Linked DNA regions of Drosophila melanogaster. The protein of the gene in region 4 interacts with the protein of the main gene of each other region in a pairwise test. Each region holds a gene or a part of one and is shown on either strand. Other genes may lie near its edges. The genes, in order: bves, CG6126, Tsp33B and CG34170.

What was found.
Region 1: the proteins of CG34170 (region 4) and bves interact in a two-hybrid assay, tested with the Drosophila melanogaster proteins (one large-scale study listed by BioGRID).
Region 2: the proteins of CG34170 (region 4) and CG6126 interact in a two-hybrid assay, tested with the Drosophila melanogaster proteins (one large-scale study listed by BioGRID).
Region 3: the proteins of CG34170 (region 4) and Tsp33B interact in a two-hybrid assay, tested with the Drosophila melanogaster proteins (one large-scale study listed by BioGRID).

Annotation. Positions count from the first base shown.
Region 1 is NC_004354.4:21,052,190-21,060,309, forward strand, and holds the start of bves (bves), read left to right. Parts: upstream 1-1,773; 5' UTR 1,774-2,133; intron 2,134-2,356; exon of another isoform or gene 2,357-2,553; intron 2,554-8,120. Other genes in the region: Stt3A (catalytic subunit 3A of the oligosaccharyltransferase complex), read right to left, coding at 1-14, 221-610, 709-1,037, 1,422-1,521.
Region 2 is NT_033777.3:16,195,935-16,206,367, forward strand, and holds CG6126 (uncharacterized protein), read right to left. Parts: upstream 7,150-10,433; 5' UTR 6,900-7,149; coding exon 6,857-6,899; intron 3,961-6,856; coding exon 3,326-3,960; intron 3,264-3,325; coding exon 2,274-3,263; 3' UTR 2,066-2,273; downstream 1-2,065. Other genes in the region: sra (sarah), read left to right, coding at 103-981; CG31287 (uncharacterized protein), read left to right, coding at 7,501-7,659, 7,714-8,016, 8,074-8,280; mtSSB (mitochondrial single stranded DNA-binding protein), read right to left, coding at 8,380-8,602, 8,960-9,068, 9,127-9,214, 9,282-9,302.
Region 3 is NT_033779.5:11,789,254-11,796,207, reverse strand, and holds Tsp33B (tetraspanin 33B), read left to right. Parts: upstream 1-3,842; 5' UTR 3,843-3,904; coding exon 3,905-4,657; intron 4,658-4,832; coding exon 4,833-4,940; intron 4,941-4,995; coding exon 4,996-5,115; 3' UTR 5,116-5,183; downstream 5,184-6,954. Other genes in the region: CG14937 (uncharacterized protein), read left to right, coding at 2,161-2,182, 2,262-3,577; CG14932 (uncharacterized protein), read right to left, coding at 5,272-5,725, 5,782-5,838, 5,898-5,936, 5,994-6,032, 6,093-6,149, 6,203-6,204; CG14931 (uncharacterized protein), read right to left, coding at 6,877-6,954.
Region 4 is NT_033779.5:17,309,718-17,315,556, reverse strand, and holds CG34170 (uncharacterized protein), read left to right. Parts: upstream 1-3,736; 5' UTR 3,737-3,797; coding exon 3,798-3,986; 3' UTR 3,987-4,089; downstream 4,090-5,839.

The DNA.
Region 1 (8,120 bases), on a different chromosome or scaffold from region 4:
AAGGTTCCCAGTGCCTGCAAGAGAAAAATACGATTTACACTCCCTTCTTTTCGATATAGCGAGTAATTCTTTAATTAGAGTTCTTTTAGTGACCAATTCAGCTAGGTTTTTGGTACTCATTATGTTTCATACTCTTCCTATCAAGAATTTAAAATGTATTCATCACAACAGATCACACATCGCTACACTGCACAGCATTACACAAAGTAGTTACACTCACCAGCATGTGTTCGGAGCTCTGGATGGGTTGGAATCCCACAAACGAGATCTGCATCGACAGAATGGTGCCGACGCAGTATAGCGTGCTGTATGCTATGTAGATCCTGTGCGAGAAACGTCCGGTGATCATCAGCGCCAGCACGTGCAGCGGGATTAGGTTAATCAGGAAGACATAGCCACCCCACGAGGAGACCATATAGAAGTAGGCCAATGCCGACATAGCCGACCAAAAGATCGTGCCCGTCTTTACCGCCTTGATCCACAAATAGTAGGTGAAGAGCATGCAGAAAATGGCGATGCCTTCATTGTCGTACGATCCCGCCACGGATCGAGAGATATACCCGGGAACGATGGATATCAAAGCGGCGGCCACCAGTCCAGCTCCAGTGCTCTAAAAAGGGGTAAAGGGGGATCATAAGAACCACGTGCGAATTTTAACCTCGAAAGGATATAAAAAAAAAAGTAAAGAACGGTGGGACGGTGGCTTACGTGTATCTCCTTTGTGAGGGCGTAGGTCACCAGCGTGGTCAGCGAGGAGAAGAAGGGCGCCAGGAAGACGCACACGTTCCGTATGTCGATGGTCACATTGAGCAGCCACATCAGGCGGTACAGGGCCGCCGAGGTGAGCATCAGCCCGGGATAGATGGTGCCGCCGATGATGCGGCCCAGGGGATACCAGGCGCGGTCATCGAACCAGTTGTGGAACTTGTAAAAGCCCTGCTCCGCCAGAAACCGCGTGGTGCGGTAGTTGAAGTACGGATCGAACTCATGGATTACGCTTTCGAATCGCAGCACAGAGAACAAGCGTGTGGCAAATGCTGTCCAGAAATGCAAGAGGAAAAGGAAGTTTAATCGGCGATGGCAAGAGGAAGACCAGCAGCTAGTGATGGCACATGCCAGCGTGTATCAAGCTATCGATATTCTAGCAGGGCTGGCAAGTTGATATTCTACAACATGGCAATCGGAAGATGTTTATAGCTATGCATTTGTTCAAATGCAAATCAAGGAATTTATAAGCTAGGAAATAAGGAATAATAGTGCTGCATTGCGTAACTAAGCCATTATATGCTCTGGGTAATTTCACCATAAAGTGCCGGCGGCACATCAAGCTATCGATAGCGAAGAAGCTCGCAGCAGATGCGAATGTTTGACCTTTTCACAACGCCCACTCGGCTAATGCCGAATAAGCGCTGTTTACTCACATAAAACCGCTGCCAGGATGAGAATGGCCAGCTTGACCAGGTGCTCCTGTTTGTCCCAGGTGAGCAGTCCCCTGGCGACGCCGCCCACGTCCAGCGTCATTTTCCTTGCTCTTCCGCCTGCCGGCTTTTTTTCGGCGCTGCTTAATTCGATGCAAGAGTCCCTAAGTCACCGGTGCGAGTTGTTGACTGAATTCCGGATGTCCAGGATTACTTGTTTTGCCCCACCGAAGCACTATTACTTAGCTTTTTGCACAAAACAATGGCTGAAACTTGAATGCGACGGGATCGCAAACTTGCAATTCGTGGCAAAGAGCGGAGAGTGCTATCGATTATCGCGTGCTATCGCCGGTCTATCGGTAATAGGGGTGACAACTCTGACCGCTGGCGGGTTTTATTGTTTCCCTTTTAACCACTTCTTTTGGCTGCTATTTGCGGTTTATTCGGCAGTTAATTCTCGATTTATGATTAGTTACTATTAGTGAGTCATCAAAAGCACGGCTGGTATTCGAATCGGCAATTCATAACCGGCTGTTCCTGGGCTTATATCCCAGCTGTTTTCGACTCTCCGTGGGAGCGAGCACGAGTAGTGAGCAGAGAGCGAAAAACACATTTCAACCACCACACAGTGGGGTACGATTATTATTTTTTAGAAAGTTACCAAAAGTTGTCTAAATACGTTTAGACCAAAGATGTCAACTACGCCAAAGCAACCGTAAGCACAAATAAAAAAGAAAAATGTAACAATTTTCAGATAAATCAAGGAAATGTAAACAATCTTAAAAAGTTGTCAGCTAGTATGCAATTGCGACCACTGTGCACCACGAAATTCGTTTTCATTGCGGGAGAGCGAGTGAGAGAGAGGGCGAGAGAGAGCGAGCTACAGCCGTTTAAATTGCCATATATTTCCCATATAAAAGCACCGCTGCTTCGTGTTTTCATTGCCTTTTAAAAAAATCTCGAACAAAATATGACAAGAAAACATCGGATGAATCGCCGGGCAGGAAAATCACGGTTTCCACTGAAAAACTACTGATAGTTATCACATATCCGAAATATATGTATTTTCAATCGAAACGAGAACCAAATCCCCGAAAAAACGCGAATCGGAGTAAATACAAGTTGACTTCTGCTGGTAAATAGAAGAAAAATTTGTACCTAAAACAATGAAAAACTCACGTGTCAAATATTTAAGAAATTGTTCTCACTAATACATGGGCAAGCCCATTCCTATTTGCGTGTATGAGATTTGCTAGTTCAAATCGTTGATTTTTTTTAGTGGCAGCTTTGTTATGTGCAATATATACATAGATATTTGCATATGTATTGTGTGTGTGTGTATTTACTTGCAGCGTTGTTGTTGCTGTTTTTTTTTTAATTGAAGCCGCGCCAAAAGTAATTAAATAATAACGATGGCGAGTGTTTGTTTGTGTGTAAAGTGCAGCAAGAATGGTGAAAAATCGAACATCAACACGCTTTTAAAAATGCATGTGTTATGTATGTGTATATATCGGGACGTCACTGTGTGCGTGCGGGTGGGGGCAGCGACGCCGGCAGAGGCAGCGATTGCAGTTGCCAGCACGCATTCAAGAAGAAGAAGAAGGAAATCGAATGTATGATGGGAGGGCGTGGAAGGGGGGTAGGGGAAAGGAAGAAAAGGAAAACAAAAGCAACAAACTCCAACTTCTGCATCTGCTTCTTCGTTCTCTCCTCCTTCGGCCCACCACTCACTCACACCCCACCCACTCTCTCAATGTGTGTATGTGGGTGTTTGCATTTGCATGGCATTTCTGGCATGCAACTTCTATGTGTGTGTGTTTGTGTGTGCGTATATTTATGGAAGTTGTGTGCCTATAGGCGAGAGAACGAGAGGGAGAGAGAGAAGATCGGGGAACTACTATTTATTATTATCCAAGCTCCCAAAAATCGAATATTTTGCAACAAAAGAAGTTAGACTCGTGTTCTATTAGGAAAAAATCAATGAAGTGACATTCTCATTTCCGATTTTGAGACCCAATTGGGATGAATTGCTTTCGTAACTTCCAACTTAACGATCTTTCCAAAGATCTAAACTACATGAAGAAGGGGAAAATGGGGATGAAATTCGTTTTTAAAATTTCTATTTAAAAATATATTGGGTCCAAAAATACTTTATCAGTGGGGAGAATAGCTCTGAAATGAGTTTCCAATTCCCGAATTCCACTTCAAAGATCTGAGGCGATAAATAAAGACATTGCTATGCAATTCAAAAGTCTCATAATTCAAATGAGAGCCCAAAAATAACGAACGAATTATTCAAAAAATAATTATGCATTTCAAAAATAACTGGTGCGTATTTTTGCTATGAACTGAGAATAATATTCTTTGGTAGAAAAATCTGAGAACTACATATATGTATAAATAACATATTGCTTTGCTTTGCAAATTCTTCTCTAAGTCTAAACAAACCGTAAAGTTAAAAACCTATCTAAATCCAAACAGTTGGATAACTGAAAGCCATTTGATATCGCACCTAAGGCAGCATTCCGATAAGATAAATGACCTTATGTACAAAAACACTGAACTATAGAAATGTTTTCTTATCAGTGCTCGGCTCTGGATGAAATTCGTACTCCATAACTGATATTCACAATTGAAAATTTCCTATCACTAAGAGCTAGCTGAAAATGTTAGTGGACCATTAGAGTAAGGTAATCCATCAATATTGCATGTATAGTATACTGATGTCGACCATTTCCTAACCCATTTAAATGGCCATTGAGTGATTAAGTGTTTTTGTTTATTTTTTCTTCGATTTCTGCTTTCGCCTCAAAATAATTTACACAATTTTTGCCGTGGCTGGCCCGTTTCGGGCCATAAAAACGATGTAAAATTTAATATGGCATATAGGGCGAGACAATGTTGCCTGTTGTCTGGTTATTGTTATTATTATTTTTGTTTACACGTGGGAAACGGAAATTGGTGGTGAGGGGCAAAAAAAAAACGGAGGACAGCAAAAAGTTGCCGCCGTTTCACTTTCGGCTCACCAGTCTCCACTTGCCCCACCAAAGTAGTTAAAATTTACAAATAACAAAGGAACAGTCGAGGAATCTTAAGAAATGCTGCAAGCGTTGTGTTTTACACAATTAATTCCACGTAATTAAGCCTTTACGAAGCTTATGACTTTAATGTCTGATCTTCCCTTTTTCGCCCTCTCTCTCTCACTCTCTCTCTCTCTCTTATTGTTTTTCGTTTCGTATTTTCCCTTCTATCGCCGGTTTCATTTCCAATTGTTGCCATACAAGTTCCGCTTCCAATTGGATTACGACCACAATTTGTCTGCGGGCCAAACACCAATTAGAATCGGGCGAGATATGGAATTGTGCGGGCGCCTTAGCTCCTTATAGCTCCTTATCGATATCTGAATGCCCTTTATTTTTAAAGTCAATTTTAATGCATTTATGTTTTTAAACATTCAGAGTGCTTAGTTCGAAGTACATGCATATGTACATAAGTCCAATCGGAAGTCCAAGGGGAATTTTTGCGTTTAGTAAATATATATTGTATTTCCTCCTATGATAGTTTTCTCCTTGCTGAAAAAGGGTAATTTCCATTTCGCTTGATAATACTCATCTATAAAACCCGCGACTTTCTCCATAATTATAATCATTTGCAGGGAAATTCAAACAAAAAATCGCTTACATGTAATAGCCAAATGCCATTTCTCATTAGATGATGCCCCCCACGACGATTTCACGATGATTGCCACTGAGCAAACATCAATTGCTGGACAAAGGCAATCGATGACTTCGTCGTGAAAAAATGGGGTTGGGGGAGTCAAGAGGGACTTCATATCGGCCATTAAACCCACACTTTTCCGATATCGTCATTGGCCACTGGCATGTCATTCAACCCACCCTATTTCACATGATTTTCACCCGGCGACTTTTCCTTTCTGCTCGCAGTTATCAGTCGCAAACTATTGGGATTTTCGCAAGAAAAGTCTTTCCTTTTAAGTTGTCTTTTTTATCGTTCTTCGAAATTAAAAAACGTAAAAACTTTGAAAATTAACTGCATTATTTAAACCTAATTTAAGTCATTGTCTTTATTCAATTCCTCAATGTTTTAGGTTAGTTTTGAGCTCTTAGTTAACATAGTAAGTGTAACTTTTATGCAGGTCATTTCATAGTTGCACCTATAGCTATTTATTATTTTTAAATGTAGTTTCATGTTTTCTTTCACTTGTACTACATATTTGTTTGTGTTTTTCTAGTTTTTGAATCTTGCTTCGTTCGCATTGTACCCATTTTACTTTTGGCTATGGACTTAAATTTAAGCGAAGTCGCGCTTAGTTGTATTTGCATTTGTTGTTTTGTATTTTTTTGTTTTGTTTTTCGTGTTGTATGTGTGTGTGTTTTTTTTTTTCAAGGCAACAAAGCGATGACTTCATCTTCTCTGCCCACATTTTTGTTGTTGCCACACAATGTGTGTGCGTGCGTTGGTGTGGATATACCCTTTATGGAAAGTATTTGGAGTTTTTGAGTTTGGGCGCGCTCGGGAGAAAGCATTAAACCAATAAACCAAACCAAAATCACCATATATTATAAACATTACTTTATATACATAAATATGTATGCACATATCTTAAAAAATTGTTATTTCAACACGGACCTAAAGTCCATAAAATATAAAAAATTGAATTATATTGTGCTTGTATTATCCATAAGCAATTTATTGATTGTCCGTATGAACGTGAACTTTATGATCTGGAATATTTGGACTTAGATTACAGATTCAAGTGACAGTGCAGTGCAATATTGAAATTTAAATTTTGAACGCCCCCCCTATTAATGCTTTTTCCTAATTTTCTGGCCAAATTCTACCAATTCTATCTAATATATGTATTCCAAACATCTACCTATACTTCAACTAGCTAGCTAATCACCAAAAAGAACAAAAGAATTTGTTAAAAAAATAAGTTTTAAATAAATGAAGATTTTTAGAACGACGTCAGGAAATATGAGTAATACGTATATCCTCCGCTAGGTGGCGCTCGTCGATATTCAAGACCGGACAACTCTTCATTTGCTACGCTGTAGATATTCGGAATAGAATAGATAGGCCAACGTTTTTTAAAAATTTCTTTGACCGAGGCCAAGAACAAGCACTCTTTTCTCTATTCTGGGTGGTAAATGTTCATTCCGTTTTTAGGGTATTTGCATTTCGTTAACACTCAACTGATTTACATTGCTTTTTTTGTGTTGCTGCTGCACACCCCCGAAGAGTTGATGATAATGACGAGGAAGTGTTGGCCTTGTTTGTTTTTGTGACTGATGTGTGTCACTTGCGCCGCTATCATCATTATCGTTATTAGGCGCACGCCAAAGACATTGTGGCAGTGCAGTCAATATGCAAAGTGTTGAGTAACAGTCCACATCACTAGCGCATTATGATCATCATCGTGGACGTCAGACTGACTGCCTGTCATCGGTTGGTTGACCACTGTCAATAATCACACTGAGAGAAAATCCTGTATCGTAGATATGTTATGGTAAATTAGAATTTGAATATCGTATCGCCATCGTGATCAGGTCAAGACATCATCAAGACGCCATCAAGATCGGGTCAATGCTCACATTATTTTAGTTGGCATTGTCGAAAAGTTTGGAAATGTTATCTTCTGGGCTTTTCTTTTTCTTCCAGTGCATGGGCGACCACGAACTTTGCGACATCAAATTGATTATTTCGATGCCCTTCTTTGTCGCTCTTGTATCCACAATTTCTCCCTTTTCTTTTCACACTATCTTTCCTGCTCGTTGGCTTTGTTTTATTATTCATGTCCAGGCCGGAAATGTTTCGTTTTCCAGTCGCACTCACCAGACCAACCCCAATACCATAAACTATATGGGGACCACGGACCGTATAGACCATGCCCTCGCCCACTTTTGGCCACTTTCCCAGTGTTTTTAGTGTTTTTTTTTTTTTGTTCGGCTGGCGTTCTTTTTTGGGGTCAGCAAACAAAACTCGCACCCGTTGTTTGCTTTGTTCTATATGTGTATATACTCTCTGGAGTGCTTTTGGCCAAGTTTTGTTGGCCTGGTCGAGTCGGAAACAGGTTGTGCGGATCTCTGTCGGCCGAAAAAAAAAAAAAATAAAATAAAAAAATAACATTGCAGATAGTCTTTGCTTCCGTGAATTTCAGTGGATTTTGCTATGATTTATACCCGATTACCTAGATTTTTTGTAGATTTTCGCATGATATACAATATTACGGGTTTCTGAGAATTTATACGGAATTTTGGGTGCGTCGTGATCTGAAGTTACGAGAAGAAGTCGCTAAAGTTCATATCTACATACTGTATGTATGTCCACATCTGTATGTACTATTAGTCAGCCGAGATTCATAATCATATTAAATGTTTATAAACAATTACTTTAACTCCGATGAGTACTCAGCGCCTTTGTTACTAATCAGTATTGTATTAAATTCCTCTTGAGGTCTGTAATGTGTTTTATAAATATCAATATCAGTAGTCAATAACAAAATACTTATTGAGAGAATAAATAACAAACTGTAAAAATATAATTCTTTTGAATTGCATTATGTACATTTCTGTTTGTAATAAGTAGTCCGTCATCTGATATCCTTTCCCTAGTCTACTCAAGGAGTAATAATTCAAGGAGTGGCTACACTCCAAGAACTGGGGCATTCACTAGCAGCTG
Region 2 (10,433 bases), on a different chromosome or scaffold from region 4:
GTTAACAGAAGTATATTTCTTGGCTGCTATTCGCCATATTCGATAAAAACGTTTTATTGTAAACATTATTTAAAGTAGCTTTCATTTCCTTTTCAGCCAGCCATGTCCGACGCGGCCAAGTCCAACAACAATGCGTCCGCCGATGCACCTGATCCGACCACTCCTGACGCCACTGGCGAAGCTGACGCGGCCAATGCAGCCACTCCGACAACTCCGCGTGGCAATCACAACAACAACAACAGCGCCAACGGCAGAAGCAAGAACAAACTGAAGTCGACACAGAACAGCAGTGGAGGCGGCAGCATAGACAAGCTGTCGCCGGACCAGGACATTTTCATCAACGCCGCCGACGGCCTGCCCAATCAGCATCCGTCGCTCCCAAAGGAGGGAGACGTGGATAGCGACACAGAGCCGGAGGTGGATGCAGACTCGTTCGACGACCTACCCACCTCAATCATCGTGACCAACATCCACTCCGAGGTGTTTGCCAATCCAGAGCTGAAGCACGCCATGGAGGAGTTATTCCGCACATTCAGCGAATCGGCTACGTTCCAGTGGCTGCGCAGCTTCCGTCGCCTGCGTGTTAACTATGACAATGCCATTGCGGCGGCAAATGCGCGAATCAAGCTGCACCAGTACGAGTTTAACAAGAAGACGGTTATCACCTGCTACTTTGCCCAGCCGGTGACACCGGTCAGCAACAAGAACCTGCAGCCACCGGCGCCGGTCAAACAGTTCCTCATCTCCCCGCCCGCTTCGCCGCCAGCCGGCTGGGAGCCGCGCGAGGAAGGCGAGCCACTGGTCAACCATGATCTTTTGGCCGCGTTGGCTAGCCTCACACCCGGCGAGTCGCACGAGCTGCATCCTCAGAGCGAGGACCAGCCGGCCATTATTGTGCACACGGCCATGCTGGCGGAGACCGGGCCGGGACTGCAGGTGAAGGCGCCAATTGTCCAGACCAAGTGCCCGGAACGGGCATAATCATAAGGTGGTGACGAAACTAAAGCTGAAAACCTGAGTTGTAAAACCAAACGATCGGGACAACGGGTTGGGACTCATGCTCTGCGGATGGTTGGGGCTTCGATTGAGTATTTTTTGTAAATATTTTCCGATTCAATTGTGATTAATTTACACATACATATATTTAGCTACGTTCGTATGTTTGTATTAATAGGCACTCGAACTCCCATACCCGACATACTTTCCCACCCTTCCTTCAAGCGTAGCATTTACCCCAGTTGGCTTCTGATACAAGTTCATTGGCTAACAACCGCATCTAGATGTGTTTATCTCGCGATTTGAGTGTGTCTATGTGTAAGAATATTGATGTTAAGCCATCGCAAATACCTGCTAACAATATCTACATATATCTCTGTGTACCTTCGACGGGAAATCGCTGACAGAGGCGCTACCGAGAACCGCGATCCGAAATCCCAGATATAAAGCTACTATATCTATGTAAATGTTAATGTAATTCTAAGCCAGCGAAATCGTGTAACGATATCGCATCAGATATCGGCATACACATACATACGTTTATAAATCTATATGCCTACGTGTAGTTAAAATTTAAATTGAAAATATATTCAAATTCGAAATGAATGTTCTCAAATGTACCAAACAAAACAAAATGAAGAATTACCAAACAAGAAACAAAAACCGAAAAACCAAAACTCTCTCTTTAAACAAACTTTAATTGGCGGGTTAAACATCATGTGGAGCAAAGGGAAGCGATGGGTTATGGATTTGACATTGGAAATCCCTGTCGGCAATTGGCAATTCGATAGTGCAATTGAGTGGAAATTACTGAAACTTTGCAAGGCCAGACGAACCCGAATTGGCTGTGTCGGTCGGAGAATAAACTTTAATTGGAAATAGTTGGGAAATAATTTTTTGGTGTGTACTGGTTTTACCGTAGAGAAAATTGAAATTCAAGCTATGAATCTGCGCCTAAATTGATAGAGCCTAAAAGTAGACAACACTAATCAGTAAAAATGCTCGTCAAGCATTTAAATTTCCTTTAAACTAAATTTTACCACCGAAAAAATTAAAAGAAAAAATCCGTACAAACAACAAAGGGACACTCAGAAATGAGTGAATCCACAAATTAGGATTCCCCATATTCTGCACATCGTTTTATTCGCTTGGAATGAATAGAAACTATTAAATCTTACTACTAGGCAGAAGAGTAGAATTCTTAACAAGAAAACACAGGGTAACAAGGAATTTAAGCTGGATTTTGGACTTGGGAAACAATCGTCTTTGGCTAGGTTCTACTTGCTCTCGATGTTCTTGAGCGGCACCATTTGCTCCGGATCGTCGGGATATACGCTATTCTGGCGCTTTTTGCGACCAGCACACTGACTGAACCAAGTATCTCCCTTTCCGAAGTTCTCTCCATCCTCAATGGACTCGGGCATGGGCTGGTTCATTGTCTCCGGCAGGAACATAACCCAGAAGCCCGAGATCAGGGCCACCACGCCGAACAGCACGGCCGGTATCTTCGGATCAAATGAGTCCAGCAATGTAATGAGCGGAGTAAGGGCTCCCGACAAACGGGCACACATCGATCCCAATCCCATGGCCGAGTTCCGCACCACGGTGGGAAACAGTTCGGCTGAGTAATTGTAGATTACGGCAAAGGAACCGGCGATGAGGAGCTTTCCTGCCATTACCACCGCCGTGGAGGTGGTGCTGCCCTGGGCAATGTAGGCGGCCACAATGCAGCATAGACCGCCACCCAACATCAGGGTGGAGGTGATCGATCGACGACCCAGGCGATCTAGGACGAACACAATGGTTATGTAGCTGGGGAACTCCACGAGGCCCATGATGAACAGGATCAGGTAGGGATTTCCATACAGCTTGCCGGCACTGAGCGATAGTCCGTAATAAACCAGAGAATTGGCGAACCAGCAGAGGCACACGTTCAAAGTCTTCATCCTCAAGTTGGGCGTGCGGAAGAGGTCGCTCAATCCGGCGCTGGATTTTTCTTCGGCCGCCGCCTGCTGTTTGGCTTTCTGCACATAGTACTCCTTGTCCACCGGGATGCCCGATCCGTTGATTCTCAGGCCCTTGGCCACAATATCCACCGCCTCGGCGGCACGTCCCTGCATCCACAGCCAGCGCGGAGATTCATCGAGCCACCACCAGTGGCCCAGGAACAGACAGCCATGCAGTCCGTAGATCACTTGGAGCCACTGGCGGTCAGGGATGAGTGCTCCCCATCCGGCCACCAACATGATGCCACCAGCGAAAACAGCCTAAAAGTATTGCATGGTATAGCCAGTTTAAAAAATGCAAAATCTATTGAAGTCTTCCTCACCTGGAAGGTAATGCCGCACACAGTACGCTTGGTAGGTCCCACCAGTTCCATGGTCAGCACGAACCCACAGATGTAGGCACCCGCTGATCCCACAATGCCCAGCAGGTAGCGAGCCACCATGAATGAGAAGTACTCGGGAATGAAGGCCACACCCACACCGATGATCAATTGGAACAGGGCCGACCAGCAGAACACGGTTTTCCGACCCACTTTGTCGGCGAGTCCGCCAAGGGTGACTGCGCCTGTGAACACGCCCAGCATGAACACGGTCTGCACAATGGCTCCCATCCAGCGGCGATCGCACACAAAGTTCCAGTCGATGGTGCGCGAAGTCTTGTAGTACGTCGTGTCGTATACGTAACGTTCGCAATTGATGGTGGTATTGGTGCCAGGACTACTGGGATCGAACATGAGGCAGGACTCTAGCTCGCCATTGGGCTTCAGCGGAATGGCGGCCAGGATAGCGCTCGAGTTCCATGGTGTCACCGACAAGCTGCTGTTATCCACGCCCTCGATGAAGCAGCGATGCTCAGGCACGGCGGCCACCGTGACCAGCGATAGCATGTGCATGCCAGCGGTCAGGCCGGAGAGCACCTGCAGGAAGAACTGCAGGAACTGGTACTTTCCAAACTCCCCTGCAATTGGATAGAAAAAAATAGAAAGACATTTCACAATCATTAATGTCTTGGGAAAGGTTATGAGCGCACAACAAATGTGAGCTTTCAGCAACATGATAGATAGTGATAATCTGTAGCACCCATGAATCACCCAGTTTACGATTAAATATAATAAAAAGAAAGTAAGTTGAGCTGAAAACGGAAGTTGTTCTAGCTCAAATTATTTAAAACGGTTTTTTATTTCAGTATTTGAATTTGAACATCACGTAGCTGCGATAAAAACACAACCCAAAGAAACAGCCGACTTTTATGTAGATGGGAACTTTTAATGGGTATCGCTGGAATTGTCGTCACTCCAAAGGCTTTGCAATTAAATCAAGTGGAATTTATTCAATTCGATTTCAATTGAAGCGCATTCGCCTAGCCCGTCAAATATTTGCCCACAGTTTGGTTTGGTTTGGTTTTGGTTTCGAACGCCATGAAAAGAGACTCGGATGTCTTGGGAGAATGCACTGAATCGATTATGACTTGGCTGGTCAGTCAGTCCATGGCGATCGCGTTGATGGGAGGCCAGGGGCTGTGTAAATTTCTAACGACATGGACAGTATGTAGCCTAGATACGAGAATTTGACACTTGATCACGGTCCAATGTTCAATCAGCCGTTTCAATTGATTTGTGGGTTACGTTTATTGATCGTTTAAACGAAACTCTTGCCATCAAATGAAAAGTTACGTTCACCCCGGTTACGTTGCAATCGACAAATCATGAGTAAAACGTCTGAGAATTTTCATTTTTCATTATTAAAACGATTGCGTGAAGTGTAAAATTATGTCATCGGGTTGACTTAATTAATCTCAATTATAAAATTTGACTCTACGCCTAATGAAATTCAATTACGCCCCCAATAGACATAATCAGCGTATAATTGAGCACAATCTAGGAAATCGATTGGCCAAATTTGTGATAACTAAACTCGTAATAGTAAATACTAATGTGGAACTCATAGCGGATTATCAGAGGCCACCAAATGCTAGATCATATATCAGTGATATTGTTGCTTCAGATTTATTGCATCCGTCCAATATAACTAGCCGTATAATTGTTGCCAAGTGGCCCTTGAATACGACATTTGTTTTTGGCCCTGTCAATGTTTGTTGTTCTCTTAATCGTAAGCCATCTATTATGATGTACAAAACCAACAGTTTGCACATTAAAATGAATATGGCGCAGGTTTGGACCGTTGTTTATTCTGGGCAAACTTTTTGAGCGATAAGTGAGATGGATAAGAACACGGAATATTAAAAAATAATGCAGTCATATTTCTAACAATATTGCACATGTATATTAATCTACTGTTATTCTACTATCAACTGTTGCTTTATTTCAGAGTTGATTTCTTCAAAGCTTTTAAAATTTCCTTTGTGCTTAAGTATCATGATTCGAATAATTGAGGTAGATCATGGTTTTACACCTCCACTTTAAGGCTTCCTTCGGTTTTTGTTCATCCGTACTTCAACATTTTCACTTCCCGCGTTTACTAACAACTGAAGGTCGATTTAGTTCTGTTCTGTGCTCTCCACATAGCACGTGTGGAAGTGCTCTCAAAGTCATTTTAAGTTGCTGGTTTTATGGTAACCTTCTTACGTACAAATAACAACCAACTCAGCAATGCAACACGCCTCCAAATTCGAAGTAATTAGAGTTGCTGCTCGCCAATAGGCCTTCAACAAAGTAAACAGAAATAAAAGAGCGATATGTGAATTTTGATGGCTGAGGGAGGTATTGCCATATAGTTGAATGTGAGCAAACCAGTTTAAGGTTTTTTGCATTTCACAGATACAAATGTATGCGAATATATTACGAATAAAAAAGTCGCTAATGCGATTATTACTCCCTCTCTCCTGTCACTTTCTTATAGGCTGCGGTTTTGCGAATGCTTAATACAAAACCAGTTTCGGATTGTAAAAAACTGTTCTATTTTAATTAACGACAATTTCAGCACAATCGTTGACACAAATTTTATATTCCAACTCATATTTTATGTGACTCATAAATTTCTAATTTGTAGCCGTGACAAATAAAACTGTTTATCCATCGATCTTCCACTGTATTCCCACAATTAATCTTAACTATTTTGCATACTGCATATAAACACGCTTAATTTTGTAGCTTCCACAAGCTAGCTGCAATGTTTGAACCGCACAATTAGAGTATATAATAAATTATAAGCAAATACCCAGATATCCGTAGATCCCAAGATCTTTATGACGAGCCTACTTCACAGTCTTGTGACAGATACCGCCCCTTTTGCACCCGTTTTATTTTTGTTTGCCTGTTAGCCGCCACACTCGTTTTAGCGTCACTGTGCTAAAGCCAAGTAGGCTCAACAAGTGTCAGACAGCCTCCAGCTCAGAACTTGGCCCACACGAACATGTGTCGACTATATGTGTACATAAATACATACTTGGTATGGTATATAGTCAAAAGGGGAGCAACAGGTCGGAGTCTCTATCAAGCTGTCATAAATGTCTGTCACTTGGTGGCCTCGACGATTTATTAAATTAAGAATAGTGCAAAATGAAAATGAAAATAGTTGCAATTAAAAAAGTATTATAGTCGGCTTCTTTTGAGCACTTGACGTGACGGACAGCCAGCCGGATAGATTAGGCGGAGATTAAAAGCATAATACGGAAAAATTAATTATAGATTTTAAAAGCAGAACAGAAGGTTGGGCGGTAAACCTCATTGGTCGTCGTGAAACAAAATATTATCCATAGTAGCTTGCAACGCTGATAAGACCTCTCAAAATGATAAGCATAACGCCAGGCTCTTATCAGCACGGGATGGAGACGCCTGGCAACGTAACAGCTGACCTTTCAAAAGTCTTCGCTCCCAAAAGCCCATTCCACTCACCAAGTTTCCCCATCAGGTCCTCCAGTACATAATCCACAGCCATGTTTGATTTTTTATTGATAATCAAAAATAAATGAAAGTAACTGTTTGCTATTGCTTCTTAACAAATCGTCATCTTCTGCAGAAGTGGAGCATGTATGAATGGCACACCAGTGCAGCACTGCTGATAGTTACGGGTCGCGAAGATGCAAAACGAATCCGGGATAAACAACGTGCTCGAGTGAAACAAAATCGCAAACGGAGCGCTCGATCAGCTATCAACTCTTCCGACCGCCGGCAGCATTTGAACTGGCAAAAACTAACTGCGAACTGTGTCGCTCAGCGAGAAAACTGAGTGGTAAATGGCGATAAGGTCGCTCCAAGCTCGCGAGCGAAGAGAGCTTGTGGAGGTCTCCAAAGTTGGGAACTAAAGAGCAAACTCTGCTCGAGGGTAAGAGCTTCAAAAACTGTAATCACCATTATAATCCTTGATGTATGAAAATAAATGATGCCTCTTGGCAAGGATCCCTTAGATTAGAATACGATCAGAAAACTCATACCTTAGCAAGCTTTGATTTGCCTAACACTCAGTGACAAACAAAACATAAGTCACAAAAACACATACAAAAAATACATAAAATTCATTTAAAGTTAATTTTAAAATTATGTGTGAGCCAAACTTATCAGATCCGTCGACATTCCTGTACTTGGATATGCTGGCGGATATTTTAATGCAGGACAGCCTTGAAATGGAATCAGATTTCAATACCAAGTTAAAATTTCTTAAGGAACAGGAACAAATTTGCCTAGACAATGCCAAAAATGTGAGACTCAATGGCCATAGGCAAACAGGATATAAATTTTTCATACTCCAACAGGCACTTCCCATCGATGATACCCTGAGATCAGTAAAGTGCACCATGCTTAGGGTAGAAATGGAGCTGCATGAAAACGAGATTAACCTTATACAGGCGGAGAAAGCAGTTACGAAATTGGAGCAGAGCTATCCGAGTCCTGAGAGTCTGGCAGGCCAAGTGTTTCCTTTGGCAAGTACCACATATCAGGATTTGCTGAGTATGCTGATGTCTTCGAAAAAAACAGTCGATCATTGCAATCAGATCAAAGAGGAGGTCGCGACGTATAATGAGCAGATATCCGCAAAAGTACCTTCCGTAAATTTGGTATGAAATGATGACTAAAAGTTGTATTTAGAGTTTCTAAAGTGAGTGTATCAACAGGTAACCAAGCTTATCGATTACCACAATAATACACTGGAGTCTATGGAAAAAAATATCGAAAAATTGAAGAGCCAGGTCACACAAGTTCAAAAGGAGTTCGAGCAGCTTTATAACGAACATGCACGCCAATTCAACGCACCGTTCCCATGCAAAAAGGTCAAGGAGTTAAAACCAAAAGACACATGTGGAGTACGACTACGCATGTAATCTGATAACACAATATATCCAACGAATATTATAAATGCTTACAATGCTGCAAGTTCAACTTTTCGCTTAAGATTAGGTTTGGTGATCTGGGCTTAAATTTTAGTTGTTGGCATCACGGAAAAACAACACATCGTCGGCTATGATACTGGTGCTAGTCTTCTGGTTGCCCTGCTGGTCGGTGATCTCTCCATAGGTGATCTTTCCCTGCACCATGGTTCGCTGTCCCTTCTTCAAGTATTCCAGCACGGTGTCACGCAGATTGGGCTTGAACACCACTACACGATGCCAGTCGGTGCGTTGGGCCCAGTCGCCGTTCTCATATCTGTGGGGAAATATTTAAGACTTCATGAATGCTTTTTAAATGAAATGGTAGCTATTTTCTTTATGAAATCCGGCATTTCATGGATCCTAAGAAGAAATTGATCACTGAAGTTAATTGAACAAGGAAATGTACACTATTGCCGTTATCATTAGGTAATTACATACAGCAAATGTTCTAATAACTCATTACATAAATCTGAATTAGCAGCTCAACGTGATATTTTCTTGGAGGTTAAGGCTAAGAACTAACTTAATTGTCAACATTTATGTAGCTTTTTTATTTCCCTCCTCTGAGATGTGATTTCAAGTTCAGTTGCAGACGCATGCTGGGCGGCAAAACGCACACAAATGCACTTACTTGTAGTTGGTGTGTGTAGCAACCGAAAAGGTGACCACCGGATGCTCCTGGGATCCACGCAGCTGCGGATCGGCGCCAACTCGTCCCAAAATGGTCACCGTGTTGACAGCTGTGGTTATTTATTCAAAATTAATTCAATTTCATAACTAAACCTAAGAAATACTCACTTTTTTCAACTTTGGCGGGAGCCGCTGCCGTTGTTGTTGTTGCCCCGCGTGCCGGCAAATTTCGCAGGCCGGTCAACAGAGGATTCAGCTAAAAAAAATAACATGTTTGTTCATTGTATTTTGCAATTTACCGGCTTTTTAATAATATTACTTACCATGCGCCTTGTGTGTTGCATCTTGATTGTATTAATAAAATATCGATGTATCGATGATATTTACGATATGTAAACTTTTATCGCGATAGTTTTTAATACGAAATATCGCATATCAACATTATTTCTTATTTTATATATTGACTTGAAATGCTACTCGCAAGTATATAAAAAAAATGTTTTTTTATTATTATTTATTAATTTTGGTGTATAAATCCGCTTTTGGAGATTGAATTCGCCACACGGAGTGAATTCGCCGCATATTGTCCCTTGCGGAATACAAAAGAAACTATCTAGTTCAATCATAGGCCAAAAGAGGACGTTAGCGGTCAGCTGTGTATAGTTCAAAATAACAGCCAAAGGTGGCGATGATACTACATTGTATAGTTGCTTATTTCAACCAAAAGGTGGACGCACACTAAGCACAACTGATAGTAGGCAATTTCCATTAGTTCACCATCTCAATAAGCAAATGCTGAGGGCGCCACTGTGACCTCTTTGATTAAATACTTAATAAATTAAGTACTTATTTCATTTAAAATAAGCTAAGGGTTAAGAAAAAGAAGAAATATCAATGATTTCATATCAATGTAAGTTGAATAAGCTGGACATGTAGTGTTTTCGGTACAATTATAATGTTTAGAAAAATAAACTTTATTTAAATTTGTATGCACGCAAATTGTTTACATTTTTCATAATATAAGAAATTTTACTTTAGTTCCCCAACCCCTTAATTTGTTTTTTATTCAAGAATATACTATCAAAAAAATAGTATACAGTGTGCATCTAAACATTCACTCAATAACGCAAATATAATGCACAAAGATTTCAACTTTACAACCTCGAACAGGATGCAAGAAAGACAGCTTAAGCTCGCTCCAACCACGAGTAGTCATCATCTTGGCTTTTTTGAAAATTAGTTACCGGCTGGCGGCTTTGTTTGAGCTGCAGTTGCTGAGGAAGAAGAGCGAGCGGACAAGTGTCCGTTAGTCGGGTGCTAATAAAAACCTGGACACCCGAGAGGCGTCCCCGAAACGGAGCGGAAGAACAGAATCACCATTTTTATATTCGCATTGCTCTCGAGCCGATGCTGCTGCAATTGCTGCAGCATCAACAGCAACGACAACATCACAAGCAGCAGCAGCAGCAGCAGCA
Region 3 (6,954 bases), 5.5 Mb from region 4:
ATGGAGCGACATTCATAGAAAGCATCCTCATCATACATAAACATATGCAGATATGCATAGGCATACAATTATAATATATACTTATAGTTTGTAAATAACACGCAACAAGACCCTTGGAAATCTATCGAAAATTATTATCACAACTGTATTATTTTTGCATTTTCCAAGGAGGAACATTAATAACGAGCTAACGCGCGAAAACTTTCACATATATTGGCCAAGTGTAGTCCTTAACCCAGTTTACAATATATCGAGCCCTGAAAGTGGGGCTGTGATGATTATGAGATATATATACAATTATATGACAGTGGAAACAGAAGCAGCATAACGGCAGACCCAACTAACGAGATAATGAAAAGGGATTAAACAAACAAGTTATTATATTTAATGTTAGTTGAACTACTAAAAGTAATGATTGAAAGCACGGATCGAAGGAATGGAGATAGGAGTTCCCGCGTGGGAGTGCGAGTAGTTTTTAGTTGGGCGCGTCGCCCAATCATTATGATTACAATTACAATTACGATTATGATATATGGAATACTAAACCTATAACAACAAGTTATTACCCCACTATTAAAGTTAACAAGCAACAACAACAACAACCCATACATATACATATATACGACTAGGCACAACTCTAAAATTAATTATAACCCTTAACTGTGCTTGTGTTGAAAACAACAAACATTAAGAACAAGTTTAAGCCGTAACGAAATAAAAGAAAGTGAAACAATTAACGAGAAATCCCCAAGCGCCACAAGCAACAACATATCTGCTTTAAATTTTACAAAAAAGGAAGAGAAATCTAAAAAAAAGTATATTAAACACGAGTCAAAGTTTAATAATTTAGTAAGAAAACAATACACAGACAAACTGACAGACACACGACCCACACATTATGCTTCCTTTTAAATGCAACATTTTATACATTTAATTATCGAGAATTAAATGCTTAAAATACAATTTTAATTTAATTTAACAAACTGTAACTGTACACGAATAAACGGAAAATGTAAAACTGTTTGTTTAACCATTTAAAGACAGAACTTGGTTTTATTTAACCTAATTTTATTGATTCACGATCATCGCAGCAAAGTGCACATTTTGAATACACTTAGAATGCAGGGAACAATTGAAAATTGAAAATGAAATTATCATTGATATGCATGTATTTTGCTTTCACACTGAAAATAATTGTTTTCGAAGTCGCAAACACACACTATCACACGTCTATAATTATGTAGTTGAGTATCCGTGTTAGTTTTTGGGTGTTTTTGGATTTTTGGTGATGTGTATAGAGCGCAGTATATAGAATGCATATAGAGATATATATTATTGTACGATTATTGACTAATATATAACGGATATGTATGTGTAGTACGTGAAAGGCAAGTTTATGGAGACAATTCACTTGTGTTGCAATATTAATGAACAAACGAAATAATTTACTTGTAAGTTGCGTAGTGCAAGCCGTGAGAATAGAGGTAACTTTCTCCACAACCCACACTCACTGATCGACAGACACATACCCATTAACCTTAATGATTAAACGCTGGGACAGCGGCAAAAATGTTTCCTAGGAGAAAAATTAACAGAAGCTGAAGAAAACGCTTGGAATGCCCCAATTAACGTAAACATTAAAAGCAACAAACAGTAACAATACTAAATAGAAACAATAATGTACTATAAATCAGATACAATACAACACTATATATACCTAAAATATATATGCCTATACGACAGAAATTGGACAACAAATGAAATATATATATATATAGTATATATTGTACAAGTTACGAGTAAAATGTAATTAAAATTTATGAAGTAGTAAGCACTAAACAAAACAAATAAATGAGCAGCAAAAACGCGCAGCATAAGCATAAAACCGGATTTTACAAGAAACTGAGTAACCCTGAGTAGAATTATATTTTTTGGTTAAGGATATTATTATGATTTCGTATCTCTGGGATACCCCGAAAACTATCGCTTCGTTTTCCCATCTCCAAAAGGATAAGTCGTTTAGGTAGCGCGAATTCCGCCCGATCTGCCTGGAAACCCACCCCTAAATGACCTTCGCACTAGGTAGCATCGGACTACTGACCGTGGCAACTGCGTGAATTCATTAGTATTCCAAGTACCACGATCGAGAACAGACCGCAGATGACGTCCGCAAGCGATACAGGTAAGGAATTGGCTAAAAACGAAAAAAAAAAAAACAATACAACTGAGCCTATTAAGACGATCGTCCTTCAACTTTTTAGAACCCACTGCAGTAACGCTGCTCCAGCTGAATGACGATGTCCTGGCTTTGATCATCCGCCAGCTGGACACGTACCAGCAGTTCCAGATTAGCAGGTTGAACAGGCGCTTGGCGGGCGTAGTGCACATGCTCTGGGAGACCCGTGTTCGCAACGTTGTCCTGCAGGACGAGATGTTCGGACGCTCGGGAGCCAATTCCCGACAGTTTGTGGCTTTCATCTTGGCCCTGGCTCCGCACATGCAGCACCTGAGTTGCAAGCAGTTGGATGTCCGAAGACTGCGACTGCTCAGTAACCACACGCTGGAGAGGATTCACTCTTTCGAGTGGCTGGGCAATGTGTATAGACGGAGACGCGTTCGCTTCGTGGATGAGGATGTGCGAATGCTGCAGAGGGTATTTCCCAATCTAAAAAGCCTCAAACTTAGAGGCTGCCAAATTACCGGAAAATACCTATGCGACCTGGATGAGCTTACCGATCTCCGCCTGCATGATTGCCATTTTCTGGAATCGCAACACTTTAGGGACATCTTCCGGCAGCTGCGACTACGCAAATTTGACATAATGGAGGACTGTGACGAGGTGAACTGCTGTGATCTGGCGGATCTGCAGCTGTGTCCCACACTGGAGCATATCAAGATTGCGGATTACCACGTGTGTATGGAGTCGGATATTACGCAGCAACTACTGACATTGCCAAACCTGCGAAAGCTGTCGATCTATTCCAGGAACTTTGTCTTTGATGTCCTATCGAGGATAGTTAGTCCCACAAGTCCTCCCGGCGATGGCCGACAAATTGAGGCCTTTAGTTTCAGTGGAGTTTTGCACGACTATGGCCGGTTCTTCAGGGAGCTGGGAAATCTTAGTCACTTGACGCGACTGGAGCTGCACAGCCAGCCAGAGGAAGAGGAGGAGAAGGAGGAGGGCGTCCAGGTGCAGTGCCTGGGGGATCAGATACTGCGGCAGCTAGCCAGTCAACTGGGTGAGCTAACCGAACTCCATTTGTGTGGCTATCAGTTGGAGAGTCCTTTGGGCCTGCTGGAATTCGTGATCAATTGTCGACAGCTGAGAGTCCTCGACATCACTCGAACCTTCTGCCATGGAGAATCCTTCGTCTGGAGGTGTATTGCCATTTTGGCCAAGCAAAGCTGGCGCATTCGCCCTCTAGAGCTGTGGATCCGGCATAGCGATATCAATCCGGAAATAGTTCAAAGTTCGCGCTGCGTTGATAACATAAGGCTGATAAAGGTGGATGCAAAACAGATTGGACCCAATACGGACTACACATCTGGCGTACTCAAGTTTAGCTTTGTGCGGTAAACCGCTGCCCCATGAGTGGGATATGCTCCAACTGATCAAGCTCCAAAATGAAAAGGTTTTAAACTGAAATATAGTTAAGTGTATACATTTATCAACTGCTTACCAAATAAAAAGATGTAAATATACATATTTGTAAAGCGATTTTTCAATGCATCATTGTTTTTACTGCCCTTAGGGATAAAAAAAATTAAATTCAAGTTGTAGTACACTTTAAAATTCAAACACCCAAGTCCTTGCAATCAGCGTCAATCCAAATGAAATTCGAGTTCAGAGCTAAAACCTCGTCGACAAGCCAAACTTTGGATCGATGCCCACGAGGATGACCAAATGCGCCAGCCCTTCCGCCGAGCCTCCGTCTACCTCCACCTGCTGTTAATAACCGAGGCCGTGATCGGACTGCTGATCCTGGTGGTGACCGCCTACTACCACACCGTGCTCACCGGCTATCTATCGGATATTGAGTGCCGCCTGGTCTACGGCTATCTGTTTGGGATCTACGTGTTTGGCGCCCAGGTGGTGGTGACCTTTCTCTGCAGCATTGCCATGTGGCGGCGAATTTGGCGGCGTCGCTGCACGCCGAACATTCGCCTCTTGCTATCCGTGTGGGCCTTCTACTCCTGCGTAATCATTGCCTCCGGTTTCGGGTGCGTTTGGAATCTTTACCGGGGTGTCGATGTCCTCGAGAATGCGGCGGACACCTCGCTGACCCGCGGCATCGACATGTACTACTCGTGTCCCGAGTGGAAACTCCTGTGGGACGGACTGCAGTGGCACAAGGAGTGCTGCGGGGTGCATGGCTACAAGGACTGGATGAACGCGGAGTGGATGCCACGGCGGGAGAATAACTGCACGTCGATGGTCCTGGCACCCTTCGCCTGCTGCAAGCGCTCCTGCGACAGCTGCTTTAACAATTTCCTGCCCAGTGAGGGGCAGTCCATCGGTGGCAATAGCCGGCAGCCTTTTCCCGCTCTCACCGTGGACTCAATCAATGCGAACGGATGCTTGCCTGCGTTCGTTAGTGCGGTGTGGAACTGCTTTTACATCCTGATGGCGTTATGGGTCCTGGCCCTTAAGTTTCTGGTAAGTAATTGGTAATGGGCAACGTTTTAAAGTCAGAACAATGGTGAATATTGGAGCCATATTCATTAAATTCTGTCAAATTCATTAGCGTAAGTCATATTGAAATCAAAAAATTTGAATATGCAACAAAATTGTATTTTAAGATAAGACCTCCCTAAGTCAATCATCTTTTTAGATCGTGCTTTGTTGTATGACCAAGTTCATAGTTCACCGGCAGAACGAGGGCGATGGCTGCGATAATGTGGGACTCACGGACGATGATGGACATCCCTTGGTCGTGGTGGTGGGTTTATCCATTTACTATCCATCGATAGCACCTAAATCAGTCCATTCCCCAGAAATATCCGTGTAACGTGCGCTGTGTAACAATTGCCGAGGATGATCTGGTATCCGACAACGTTCCCGATATTAACTACTGCAATTGCACCGAAATGGACGACGAACCGTGTGGATACTAATATTGTGCTTAATTTTACTTTTATATTTTATATTAATTTAATTAAATTTACGAATTTGAGTTAACTTCATATCCAATCGGTGAACGCAATATATTATTTATTGGATATTATAGGATACTTATTACATGGATGTTGTAACATTGGATGTTAAATGGATTAACGGCGCATCCTCTTGGATTTCTTCAAAGTCTGACCCACCAGTTGAGCAATATGTTTGCGCAATGCCAAGAAAGGCTTCAAGCAGACGCGCTGCTCGACGAGACCCACAGCAATGCGGTGAAAGAACTCGGTGACATCCACGGGCTTGGCCAGCAGCTGACCTTGTGATACCGAGCCGTTTTCCTCTGAGGCCTCGGGCGTAGGGCTACGTGCCATTCTACGGATGAATGGTTCCAAGTTGCCCCTGCTACGTTGGGAAACGCGAGCTCCAATGGACTCTGATAGCGCATTATTGGCGCGAGAGAAGGTGAGACGCTCCTGAGATCCCGAGTCGTTTTGATCCGGAGTCTCTGGCTTCTGTATCACCAGTTCGGGTGAGGTGGGGTTTTTCTTTGGAATTTTCGGAAACTCGGTAATTTCGGTAATCTCCAAAGCACTGTGGGGACGTCTTCTGTAGAGAATCCGAACCCGTTATTCCACGTTCTACATTACGAAACTATAACTTACGGTGTACCCGCCTCATAAGTGACATATGGGGACCAGTCTGCCCCATCCAAATCCATACTAAAAGGTTCACAAAATGAAGAAAAATGATTTTGTTTTATAACATTAAATTTACTCACTCATCTTCGTTGGAACAGTCATCATCTTGATCACTTTCCCTGATTATAAGGCAACTTAAAAATAATCTATCAAAACATTATATTAAAAAGACTTACACAGAAGACTCGCAGGTAATCTCGTCACTTTCGGGAGCACTAGAAAGGAAATACATATATTGTCAGTGTTTTTCTGAAGCTAAATTAATGAAGTCTTACGTAGCTTCTTGATATTCATCATCATCGCCCACAATATGAGGAACCTTTGATTGGGACCTGCAATGAATAATCCATCAATATATTTAATGAACTGCTTTAATTTTAATTACATTTTTAACAAATTTTCAACGCCTAGCTCCTGGAAAATGACAATGTGAAAAGCCGTGCGGCCAGTGTGTCCACTCCAAGGAATGTTTAATAAGAACATCAGTGTTGATCAAAATACTGTTGAAAACTTACTGGAGCATATGTAATTAATATATAAAATTCAGTTAAAGCTCAAGTCACGTGTTCTTAACATTTAGTAAAAATAGAAATTTATACTAAAGGTTTTGGTAAATTTGAGCCTTAAAATTTTGGTTAAGTTTAGCCTTAAAATGGCAGTTAAACATAAAAAGTTTAAATTCCTATAAAAAGACGTACCAGTGTTGTACAACAGGCTTAATTTACAAACTTCCAAATACAAATGTAATTATACATATTTATGTAAAGTCAAGCCATCACAATTTAATTCCACCTTTGGAAATGTTTTTATATATTGGGTGTTCGTTTTTATTGAACTTGACATGCTTATGACTAAATAGTTAAGGAAACTGGAATTGGAATAAATACAGCTCGACCAAAAACACAAGCCACAATTATGCAATAAATTCAATCCTTTAATGTGACATATAGTTAACTTATTCGAGTACTCTTTCTTAGACATATGTGGGCTATAAACATTGTAAAATCTCTACTGCATTCGATTGGGAAACATAAACCACAAGACATGGGCGGAAATAGCCTATTCCTGGCTGATTTCATTGGCATCTGAGAAATCCGAGACGGCGACGCTGCTGGTGCTGATTAAATGTCGATCGGG
Region 4 (5,839 bases):
ACCAAAACATAAACAACGAGCTCGCCGTGGGGCAGGTAAAAAACCGAACCTTTGCTGCATGAGTGCAATCCATATTTGGTATTACTTCTTATTTTACATGCATGTATACATAATTATGGTGCAGCCACAATACAAGATGTCTAAGCAAACCCCGTATCAGTCTCGATATTCGAGGGCAATTGCTTAAAAGGAATTGTTAAAAATGTTTGATACCTAAAATTGAATAATATATAATGTTTGAATAATTTAAATGAAATTTAGAGAGCCTGACTTCCGCTAACTTATTAGCTCTACAGTTCATGCAGTTCGAAATTCTATTTTGCAGAAAAAGAGTGAAAACACTCGATGCTCGATGGGAGGCACAATCACCAGGGTATTATGTTTGAAACAACAATCAACTGCAATCAAAATAGAAAAGCCGCACAATTTTCCAGGCATACGGCACATGATGCAATATTTCCATAATTTTCCCTCTGACCCAACAGCACGTTTTTCATCTAGCTTCGAATTGTTGTTGTAGATGTTTTACATGCCAAATTATGCAAAAGTACAATTCACCATACATATTCAAATATTTTCGCCGAGTTCCACAAAATACACACGGACACTGATCCCACAATGTTCGCCCTCCCAATCGCATCGATTTGGAATATTTGAATTTTGGAATTTGCCTGTCAAAGTCCCAATAATGACATGTCACGCTGTGTTTTATTTTTTGCTCTATCTCTCGATTTATTTGTCCTGTTATTGTGTGGAATTTTCACTGGCTTTCAGTTTTATGCTGATTTGCATGGGGCGCAAGGTCAACGATGTTGCACGCAGCTGATGCGTATTTCATGGGAATTAAGTTTGATTTGATAAAGGTCATGTTTCCTGTGTGCCAGTGTCTGTGTTTATTCGTGATGATCTGATAACGGAATTTGCAATTATGACGAAACGTAAATGGTTTAAAGTGCTTTTTGAGTGATGGAAATGGGGAAAGTGTCGGCGGGAAAATCGGATAAATTGATTGGTCTGTTTTGGCATTGATAGATTTGCCGACATGTGTTTTTGTTCACCATTTAACTTGGTTGAATGCCTAATGCACTTATTTTGAATGGTATTATGGCAGTGTTTCAGAAACGAAAACCATTTTTGAAGTGTTTGTTATGTGTATAGTATCAATTAAAAGGCTGAGATAAACAGAATAATATGGGTTATTATTTAAATGGGATTGTTGTACCTCAAATGTAAAATTTAAATCGATGAAATAACGTTTATAGTAAATTAAATTTGTATTTGCTTTCAAGGGTATAAACTTATAAATTCACTCCCCCGACAAAGCGATTTAGACTTTGAAATTATATTAGGCAATCAGTAAACGTATCTTTATTGGCTTGCCAAATCCCATCCTTGTATTTCTCACCTCATCTCAAACTGCAAGCTTTCAGTTTGATTCCTGGTTATTATTCAGCAAATAATCAGGCAGTCAAACAGTTGGCATATGTAGAACAGTATTGGGTGCCCAACCGCACGGTATCACCTGGTCAACCGATTTCAACGACAATTCATTCAAATGTCGACCATTCTGATGGCCCTCGGTTCCTGGTCTTTTGTCCGGGATCCTATATGCCGGATCTCCTATTCGCTTTGGCTGGCCAAAAGACCATTAAAGCTATTTTTTCTGCCCATTCAGCATTCAATAGAAATTTACATCACGTCGAAAATTTTTACATACGCATGTGTGTATATGTCCTTTGCTAAAAGGACATTTTGTGATGGCCAGAACGATGGGACTGGGTGGGGTATGTGGTTATGTGGTGGCGAAAGTCGCGTTGAGCATACTAACACTTTTTTGTATGTTTGCTTAGCTTAGGTTTTTACCTGGCAAAAACGCAGCAGGGGTTGGGCATCGGATTGTGGCAGCCTCGAAGTAACAATAATAAAAGCCGGGCGGAGGGAAACAAAATTGATGTTCCCTGCTGCAGTAGCTACATACATATATGGCAGGAAACTATATTGCCACATAGGCAATTTCATTGTGCGATATACATATATTCTGGCAGATATGTTAGGGACCCTGAGCAAATTGGTTTACCCGGCTTACCCTTTTCACACAACTTTAGTTGAACTCCCACTACACAACTGAAAATAAAAAGGTAGTTTAAGAAGCTAGTTTGCTTATAATATATGGGATATGTAAAGCATTGATAAAAAGTCAATTACAAAGGTTTTGTAAATGTAATTGTTGTAATTCGTAGCACACTTTTACGCATACAAAATTTCCAACAACTTGCCCCTTTTAGTTAAATATTTAATTAAATGTTGTAATGCAGTTTAACATATACATTTTCACTCAAACTTTGTACCACCATTTTGTTGCCTTCCAGGTAGAAGAGGTAAAAGGGGGAGTGGACCTTGAGAGAGTTGCACAATTTGCTAATTACCGCAATCAAAGTTTTCTTGTTGGGCAGCCAAAAACAGCTTCAAAAGCACAAAACTGATAAATTATAAATTAAAGGGAATCTCAGGAAAGTTGGCTCTTTCCCTATCTTTAGTTTACACAGCGAACTGTTGTGAGTATTCCCTCGTTTTTTTTTTTTTTTTATGCTTGGATTCGAGTGCATAATTTACGAGTTGAGCTCGCTGCCAATATTTCAATTACTCTACGGCATTTCGAGCAGTCTTCCTTCTTGCCTCCCTATCCCAGAAGCAATTTCAATTGAGCTTAGTGCTTGCGGAGTACTCTTTTCGGTAGGCGGTTTTGTCTCAGGGCGAAATTAGTGGCCAAAACTGCGGCAGATTACAGGCCAGGCCAAGAGCGAACTTCAAACAATTATTTGGCCAGCTGGGCTGGGAAGCTGGCTTTTAATTTGCTTAGCCCCTGCCCATGAATAATGCAATACGAGAAAGAAACGAGACCAAGAAGAATTTTTGTATAATTGCAGGGCGCACAAAATTTCGCTTAGAATCTCCTCGGGCCACATAATTGCTGAGTGGAAAGGGGCGGCAGAAAGTTAAATGTAAATTAAATATTTCCCTCGTCTTTTCTTTAGCAAAACGCAAGTTTTATCCGGCTCTTAAGTCAAATATTCACCTGCTACAGGAAGGCCAGTGAATTAACATGAAAATGAATGGACTTCAGGTGAAATCTTTATTACAAACAATTTGCGGTGTCCTGCGAATACAATGGTAACTAAAATAATTATTTTGAGAAGCTCTTTTATAATTTCCCGAAATATTACGTTAAATGTAAATTTTTGTTGTTTTTTATGCAAACAATTTAAGTATATACACCAGTTCGTTTTTATTTCCAGTGCCCATAATAAGCCCCGTTTCAACTGCTATTTGAAGGCACGATTGCATCGATTAATTATGGCTGTCATCGTGTAAATTGTGCTAAATTATTATTATCAATGTTGTTGGCCTGATGACAAACATTCAATTTCGCGAATGTGTCGCGCTCGACGGACACCCAGGATACAGATACACAGGACGACCCGTTGAAGCGGAGCGACCAAATTGCAATTGTGATATTGACAATAATGCAATCAAATAATCAATCAATTAATGTCTGCTTGAATTAATGCCGAATATTATGTGCTATCGTCAATGCCATCATTAGCACTAAATTCAATTACGTTGCAGGCATATCCTGTTGCCCTCCATGATGATTCATCATTGTTAGCGTACTTTTCCGATGAGGCACGGCGTACACGAATCCTAATCCCAGGAGCCTGTGGCCCACACATTACTCTCGGCCTTTAGAAAAACTTCAAAATTTGTGGCTTAAATTTGGGGAGCCGGAAAAATATTCCATGGCTGGATCACCTGGCGTTAAGGATAAGCTGAATCTGATTGTTGGCGGGGACATTTGCGAGGTATACCGGGATGGATTCAATTGCGGATCCTTTGGCTTCTGGTGCGGACTCGTCGGATTGGCCGTCTTCATAATTTTTCTCGCCTACTTTCATATAAATCGGGAGCGAATAGATCCGACGTCATAATCCCCCTAAATGTGGACAATTCTACATAAATGTGTCATAAATAAAAAGTAATTTAAAAAAAAGTACACATAAATCTTTTGATTTTGTTAAAAAAAACCCTTTTATTCCATTAAAGATTAAAGTTGGATCCAAAAAAAAAGTTGTGTAATGCATTCATTAGCGTGTTATATATTCTTTATGAGCTCTCCTTCACATACAAAGCTCTTTGAGTTGTCTCTCAAATGAAATCCCGTAATTCCGTCAATCCAAATTGATATTTTTATTCATCAAGCTCGATTTTCATGAAATTCATCCTTAAATCGTTGTTAAAAATGCATGTGCATATTTTTCTGCCGGCTCTTATTACCATGCACCTACATATTTATCACTGCTTGATGGACCCAAAACGGATGCTATGTAAATTTTTACTCGGTCGATACATTTGACAGAGCTCATATACACTCTCGTATATAAAATGCCTCAACTTCGTTTGATTTATGCATCATTCACGCGCAATTTATCGTAAAAATTACAAAAAAAGTTCAGCGCATAAAAAAGAAAATGGAAATTCACGTTTTTCGAATCTACAGACAAAGTGCACTGGCGTTAAAAGTCACGGGGGTCATTTATTGGGTAGTTTATAATGCAGTACAACATAACTGATTTCCAATGTTGTTTACTCAACTTACAAACATTTTGATTTACGTGTGTGCGGCACAGATATGTATTGATATATTGATATATATATATATATATATATATGTTCACGTATATCAATAACATCACCAGCAACAACATTCAACAACCAACAATAATAAAGAGGCTGACGGGCAGGCAGGCGTAAACCGAATCGTGTTTATATATTTACTTAACTTTTATGGTCCTCCCTTTGCCAACGTGGAAGTGTATTTGATTATGACAAACAAGTACAGCACGGCCTAAAATTAAAGTATTTGTTATAAAATTATAACAATTATACTATATAATTATAGTTCAATTAGTATGTAATAAGAAGATGCGCTTTAACCATCAATTTATTTATAATTTGAATTATTTTAGGGATTTAACTTCCAGTTGTAAAATCCCATTCGTAATCTAATGTTTTATATTTGTGACCTGATTTAGGGACTCAACGTATTTAAACATTTCATGCACAACTGTACGGAGGAAAATGCATACATATGTAGCGGAGTGGGAAAAGCGAAGTCAAGGTAGCGATGCATAAACAAATATTTGCAAAGCACAAAGCCAAAAAGTGGGTGGTGGGCGGAAATTCAGGGGATGTTCAGTGGGGATTAAGTGATGCCCGCCAGAAATGTCATATTGCACCGAAGCGTTTGGGTTAAAATACCACTCGTTTGTTAAGTGATTAACAAATTACGTTTAGGTATATTTGAAACAGTAAATATGAAACAGTAAATCGTGATGAAAAATATTTAGGCACACTTCTTTAATAAGCGGTGACTTTTAATTAAAAACTCTTTTAAAGAATTAAATTTTTCCTATGGATATTGCAAGTTGATCTACCTTTTCACTCTCTTCGTTCGTGTATCCTTTTCTTTGGTTGTTTACCTTGCACTTTTAGTGCACCTACCACTATTCATCGATTGGCCATATTTCTTGTTATTTTATTGCTCCTTTTTGCCTCGTGCGTTTCATCTTTCATACGCACTCGATATTCAGGCAATCCACTGAAAGTGCCATCATCATTCGTTCCATATGCAAAAGCCAAATAACATTCTCGCAATTCCGCCTTGTCCCCTATTATTTCTGCCTCGGTTTCGCCTTTGGTCCTAGCCGGCCATTGTTAAAGGCTTGTGGTCGCCTCCTGCTGTTGCAACTTCAGTTGATGCTGCCGCTGTCAAGCTGCCAGG